2 linked regions of the Ovis aries genome follow. The protein of the gene in region 1 interacts with the protein of each later gene in a biochemical or structural test. Links are inferred from orthologs where the notes say so. Each region holds a gene or a part of one and is shown in the gene's direction. Other genes may lie near its edges. The genes, in order: JADE1 and KAT7.

The links.
Region 2: the proteins of JADE1 (region 1) and KAT7 form a complex in vitro, tested with the Homo sapiens proteins (2 studies listed by BioGRID). The link is inferred for Ovis aries from reciprocal best matches to the Homo sapiens genes JADE1 and KAT7.

The regions. Positions count from the first base shown.
Region 1 is NC_056070.1:29,204,932-29,208,747, reverse strand, and holds part of JADE1 (protein Jade-1), read left to right. Parts: intron 1-887; coding exon 888-1,409; exon of another isoform or gene 1,410-1,537; intron 1,538-3,816.
Region 2 is NC_056064.1:36,546,471-36,549,494, reverse strand, and holds part of KAT7 (histone acetyltransferase KAT7), read left to right. Parts: intron 1-1,224; coding exon 1,225-1,371; intron 1,372-1,966; coding exon 1,967-2,073; intron 2,074-3,024. UniProt on the Homo sapiens protein: Catalytic subunit of histone acetyltransferase HBO1 complexes, which specifically mediate acetylation of histone H3 at 'Lys-14' (H3K14ac), thereby regulating various processes, such as gene transcription, protein ubiquitination, immune regulation, stem cell pluripotent and self-renewal maintenance and embryonic development.

The DNA.
Region 1 (3,816 bases):
CATTCTCCCAGCACTGATCAGATGGGGAGAAGTTAATCGCTTTCCTCCTGCTAGGCCTCCAGCTTGCTGTGTGGATCAAAGGCACTACATGGTCCTCCTGGTGGGGCAGTGAGTGAGAGGTCGGGCTGGGTAGGCCTGACCTCTGGGCTGACCTTCCTTTCACCTGCTGGCAGTAGGCCCCTCGCGGTTGCACTGCCAGGCCTGCCAGGCGCAGCATGCCCAGGTCTCAGAGCTCGGCCTCATGGGCCCAGAGGCCTCTGCATCTGGCAGAGCTTCCCTAGGGTGCAGAGACTAGTCTCACGCTGTCTGTGCAGGGTGGTCCCAGTCTCTGATTCCTTGCATCTCTTTGGGAGTTTTTAATTCACCTCCTGGGTCTTGAGCAACCCTCACTGCTGGGAGGAGTGTGCCACCCGTGTTGGGCCTCGTCCTGGGGGACACGGGAAGGGCCCCCATGATCCTGTAACATCTCTTCTTGAGGAGATTTCACCACTCAGGCGTTAGAAAAGCTCAGATGGGTAAAAAAGCAAGTGAATGCCTGAGAGTGCACGCTGTGTATTGAGAACATCTGCACGTGCCACCTGTATAATTACGTGGGCCTTACGAGGTGATTCTGGATGCAGTTGCTTTTGTAAGAGAGTTACTGTTTGGTTAATGAAAAAAAGCCTCCTGAATCCCAAGCCATAGCTTATGTAAAACACAATTAGATCTGCCAGGGGTCATCCACGTGAAGCCGTTCTGTCCCTGAGCGCTCCAAGTGCAGCTCTTCCCGTGTGTGTGCGTGTGTGCATGCGGGTACACGCGCGTGCGGGTGGACGGGGTGCTTGCGCTCAGGGCTTCGGGTCCTGTCCCTCCCTAACCCCACCGCTTGCTCTCTGTTTTCTCGCCAGTGCTCCGTGAAGAACTGCCGCACAGCCTTCCACGTGACCTGTGCGTTTGACCGGGGCCTAGAGATGAAGACTATCTTGGCAGAGAACGACGAAGTCAAGTTCAAGTCCTACTGCCCGAAGCACAGCTCGCATCGCAAAGCCGAGGAGGGCCTTGGTGAGGGGACCGCTCAGGAGAATGGGGCTCCCGAGTGCTCCCCGCGGGATCCGCTGGAGCCCTTCGCTGGCCTCGAGCAGAACCGGGGGGAGGCCCACCGGGTCAGTGTCCGTAAGCAGAAGCTGCAGCAGCTGGAGGACGAGTTTTACACGTTCGTCAACCTGCTGGACGTGGCCAGGGCCCTGCGGCTGCCCGAGGAGGTGGTGGACTTCCTGTACCAGTACTGGAAGTTGAAGAGGAAGGTCAACTTCAACAAGCCCCTCATCACTCCAAAGAAAGACGAAGAGGACAATCTAGCCAAGCGGGAGCAGGACGTCTTGTTTAGGAGGCTGCAGCTGTTCACGCACCTGCGGCAGGACCTGGAGAGGGTAATGATCGACACTGACACCTTGTAGTGGCCTAGAGAAGACGACGGCAAAGAGACGGCCGCTTGCCCAGAGCAAGGGACGGTAGCCGGTTCATTTACTCTCAGACCCTGTACATACCGCAGCATGAGGTGGTGTTGGTTCCATATATTAATGGGCTGGGAAACTCGATGTACGCACACGCAAGATGACCGCAGAATGGGGAGCTTCTCTGGTTTAATTTTAAACACTTGTAGTTAACTGTTCTGGGAGATCACATGGGGTACCTCTTTACCCTCCTCCATTCTAGAGCTAGAGGGAACTGAGCCCCGGGGAAATGGCCAGGGGATGGGCTTAGAATTGTTTACAGACTGAAAAGCCAGAATGGATTTTATGGTGTGGGGGCTGGGGCGGGCGGGCAGAGGCAGGCAGATCTTTTGTTCAGTCTGGGGCGGCACACCCGACGTGCTGGTCACTGGCTCTCTGAGGAGAGCGGCGCACTGCTTCTCGGGCCCAGCCCCGTTCCTCGGCTCCTCACGGGGCCGTCGCCCTCGCAGTCACTGACTGAGCAGAGCAGGCGTGGGTGCTAGCCTGCGTGCATCGCCACCGCGCCCCTGCGTGTCTGCTCCCCCAGGCTCTCCCGCAGCGAGGTGCTCCGTCGTCACCGAGGCTGTGTGTGTGTGCCCGTGACTGTGTCCGTGTGTCTGTCTGTCTGCTCTGTCTGGTGTGGGTGTGGGGTGGGATTCCTGGTGCACAGAGGCCTGTGATCTGACTGAGGAGCCCGTGGGCACAGTAGCACACTCCGTTTCACACTTCTGGATCACACTTCAGCCCGCAGTCTCGGCTGGCGGCACTTCCCTTCCGCTGTTGCTGCTTTGTATCTCCCCAGCGTCTCTGGAGTCCCCGTCTGGACCTCCTTTCCTGCTACTGGAATAATCAGGAGCGGGCTGTCTTTCCCCCCTGGCCTCCTGCTCCCCGTAGGTAGCTTCTGACTGAAGCTTACTAATTGGTGATGCATCTCTGAGCACCTTCTGTGGCAGCTCCCCTGATTGCCCTGCTGCCAACAGCCGGCTCCGATTAAATTCATTAGTGCACGGGAGATGGAACGGAGGAGCAGCCTGTGCTGAAAGGCACCCAAGTGGCCTGAAATGGTTAACGCATCTCCCCCAAGCACCTAACTTATTAGTGATTCACCTGCCTGGGAGAGAATCTGACTCAGAGCTGATGGGAAGTGAGAGCGTAGGCAACGAATAGGGTTACGTGGGAGAAGTACCGAACCCAAAAGCCCCGGCTCTCACAGACACCAGCACCACCCTGGCAGAGGAGGCGTGGCAGGGAGAGTATTGGTGGGCCTGCGTTAGAAGAGACTGTTCTAGAACCTGACGGTGACACCGCACCAGGATTCAGGCAGAGGGGAGGCGAGGGGTGTGGAATTGAGGCTCTCCTGCTCCCGTGCCCCCCCTGGTGGTGAGTGTGAAGAAGACCTCGCCTCAATCACAGGTCTGTGTGACCTTTTTTGTTAGCGATGAGAAAAGGGTTCAGAAGGATAAAGTGGAATCCTGGTGAGAAGCCTTGTCCCAGCCCGACAACTGCTGTACTCGGGGTTGCATGAGCTTTGGAGTCAGTCCTCAGGAGGGACGACGAGAAGTCTGATGTTTGGACTGTGTGTGTCTCGATCACCACAGAATAAAAGTGTAGAAAACGCTCGTGGTGTACTAACTTCTGTACTGCAGATACTCAGATTAACACGCACTTGAAATTCTAAAGTTTTTTTTTGAGTCATCACTTGCTTTCTAAGTAGAATGCCAATGATGTATGAGAATAGGGAATAAATCGGGATTTCTGTCTGTGTGGCATTACTTGCGTTTACTTTAAAGAGTCGTTAAGATTTTAGGGCCTTTAGTGTCAGTTTAAGCTTATTAAAATGAAAACCATGTTTTCCAAAATGTGCCACAAGGCCAGTTAGGGTGGAGGCTTTAAAAAATGGAAATCCTGGCCTTGCTGCAGAGAGTACAGTTATTTGTAATTATAAACAGTAGTGGGCAGAAGACTCCTCAGAGCAGGGGTGACAATAAGAACAAATCATAAATTTGTTTTCAAGTGAGTTGAGTCTTGGGTAATTCACACACTAGGTAGTGTAATTCACACTAGGTAATTAACATTTCTTAGTGGTTAATAAGAAGGACATGATCAAGGCATGTGTTCCCTTCAGAACTGAGGAGTGAATAGGCCTCGTTAGAAATGCAGACAACGCTGAGTGATAATGGTGGTTGTTCCTGCAAATACACACCTTGGGGGCGCCTTGCACACCTGCGTTCCAGTTCTGGACCAGACAGGTGACAGGAATGGTCTCCCAACGGTGTGGGGACCTGAAGACACCATTACCGATGAGGCGGGTGCCATGCCAAGTTGCCAAGGCTGCCACTTCATT
Region 2 (3,024 bases), on another chromosome or scaffold:
TACAAAACAAAAAATTCCTTAATGTCATAAAATACACTATTCAAATTTTCATTATTTTGTGATTTGATTCTTTAAAAAAAAAAGTTGTTTTTATACAAATACAGATAGAACTGTGTAGCTTATAAATCAGTTTTTAGTTTAGAGGTTCCCGCTCCATCTCTTTTTTTTCTTTGCTATTTATTTAAGTTGGTTATCCAGTAGTTTTAGTTTCCTGAAGTATGAGTTTGCTGACTTCATCCCCCTGGTGTTGAAAGTTAGATGTTTAGCTGTTAAAACTGGAGACTTTGTGAAATTCAGATCATGTCTATTCCCATCTGCTGCCCACCACCAATATTTCATAGGCAGTACTGAGATAATCCATTCTTTTTTTCTTTTAAGAATTTTTAGGGTTACTTAAAAAAAAAATTTTTTTTTTAAATTACTTTATTTTTGGCTGCATTGGGTCTTTGTTGCTTTGCCTGGGCTTTCTCTAGCTTCAGCGAGCGGGGGCTACTCTTTGGTACGCTATTCAGACTTCACATTCCGGTGGCTGCTCTTATTACGAAGCGCAGGCTCTAGGCACTCAGGCTCAGCAGCTTCAGCTCTGGGGCTCTAAGGGTGCAGGCTCGTCAGTTGTGGTGCTCAGGCTTAGTTGCTCTGAAGCATGTAGAATCTTCCTGGACCTGGGATTGAACCCTTACCCCCTGCATTGGCAGGAGTATTCTTGTCCACCTCACCACCAGGCAAGTTCTGAGATAATCCATAAAGTGCAAAAATCTGAAAAAGCTTGAAAGCTATATAGTGAAATGGCTTTCAAATCTGTTTCCATCTACTCTGTTCTCTTTTTTGGCTTGTGGGATCTTAGACCCTTGACCAGGCATCAAACCTGGGCCCCAGGCAGTGAAAGCGCTGAGTCTTAATCGCTGAACTGCTAGGGAATTCCTTATCTACTTTGTTCTTAATGCATACCTACAGATAACTATTAATATTAATAAGTTTCTAGTGCAGGCTTCCACTAGAAGGCTTTTATATTAAATGTCTATTATAAGTAAATGTGAAAACTCATTCGTCCCCTTTTGTTTGTACAAAGGCAGTCAACTGTACTACAGCTAATACATAGCATTGCATTAAATGACTGGACCCTGATGGATATTGCCAAGCAGACTCTATTCCTTAAATCTTTATCCATTTTGGTACGCTGTTCTTATTAGGATGAGATACAGTATCTGCATTGTTCTCTGGCAGGTTATTTGCTTTCCAAAGTGGAAGAAAAAGTTGGCTCCCCAGAACGTCCACTGTCAGATCTGGGGCTCATAAGCTATCGCAGTTACTGGAAAGAAGTGCTTCTTCGTTACCTGCACAATTTCCAAGGCAAAGAGATTTCTATCAAAGGTTGGTTTTTTGCTCTTAGAGAATGTTACCTAAGATGTTTGCTCCTCTGAATATTCTGACTTTTCTGTTTGGCCTGGTTCATGTTTTGTAATCAGCGAAGGTAATGCCACATTCTGTGTTGCATCTGAATATGAGAGCGGAAGGCTAACTGATGTGGACCACTCACCAAGGTGCCTAAGGATTCCAGAGCATTTGGCCCTAGGGACTGGTTATCTGATTTGGTTTCTCAAATTTTAGGTTGCTAACACTTTATTTCACAAAATTCTCAACAAAAGCAAGAAAGAAGAAAAACTTCAAGTCATTTGGCACACACAGGAACTTCTAACATCCTGGAATATTTATGCAAGAGTGAAATAATTTAGTTTGTTCTTTGACTTCAATGTCTATAGGAGCCAAAGTGGTTTCCTGCTGTACTGCCCCTCTTTTGTAGTTATTTTAAGTGGTCAGATGAATACTTTATAAACTTGTGGACAGCTTGGGTCAAGTAGCAAAGATTCCAAATATTTGGAGTCTGTAGATTTCCTTCAAAGGAAAGGGGTCCTTGGTAAGGGAGTGGGGAGGTCTGCATTTTGAGCAAGTAGCTCTTCTGTTTCAGAAATTAGCCAGGAGACAGCTGTGAATCCTGTGGACATTGTCAGCACTCTGCAAGCCCTTCAGATGCTCAAGTATTGGAAAGGAAAACACCTAGTTTTGAAAAGACAGGTAAAGTTTCTGTTAGCCTTTTACTCATTGCTTTATGTCTCTTGAGGCCTAGCAAAGTGGAACCTTCACACCTTAAAGGTAACCTTCCCTTTTTAAAGAGTTTGACTCCATGCAGCTTTTCCTTTGCTCTCACTGTTAGACTTGTCTCCGACTGTACCCTTATCAGAAGCTTCTGGTAAACTCCTGTCTCATACTTGGATGACAGAAGCATTAACAGCTCTAGTTAAGCAGCTTTATGTTGCACTTCTGTCCTTTGATGATTTTCTTACATCAGAGAAGAGTGCCCATCTGTGGAGGAGAATCTCCATAACCTCCAGGGCCTGTAGAAGTGGTTTTAAATTCCTTTAACAAATGCCATCTCAGTTCAGTTCAGTTCAGTTCAGTCACTCAGTCGTGTCCAATTCTTTGCAACCCCATCACAGGCACGCCAGGCCTCCCTGTCCATCACCAACTCCTGGAGTTCAGTCAAACTCACGTCCATTGAGTCGGTGATGCCATCCAGCCGTCTCATCCTCGGTCGTCCCCTTTTCCTCCTGCCCCCAAATCCCTCCCAGAAGCAGAATCTTTTCCAATGAGTCAACTCCTCGCATGAGGTGGCCAAAGTACTGGAGTTTCAGCTTTAGCATCATTCCTTCCAAAGAAATCCCAGGGCTGATCTCCTTTAGAATGGACTGGTTGGATCTCCTTGCAGTCCAAGGGACTCTCAGGAGTCTTCTCCAGTACCACAGTTCAAAAGCATCAATTCTTCAGCGCTCAGCTTTCTTCACAGTCCAACTCTCACATCCATATATGACTACTGGAAAAACCGTAGCCCTGACTGATGTCAATTTAAAAATTTTTTTCAGTTGACTTACAACATTTACTCTGGAGGTGCCATGGCAACCCACTCTAGTGTTCTTGTATGGAGAATCCCATGAACAGGGAAGCCTGTCAGGGTTGCACAGAGTCAGG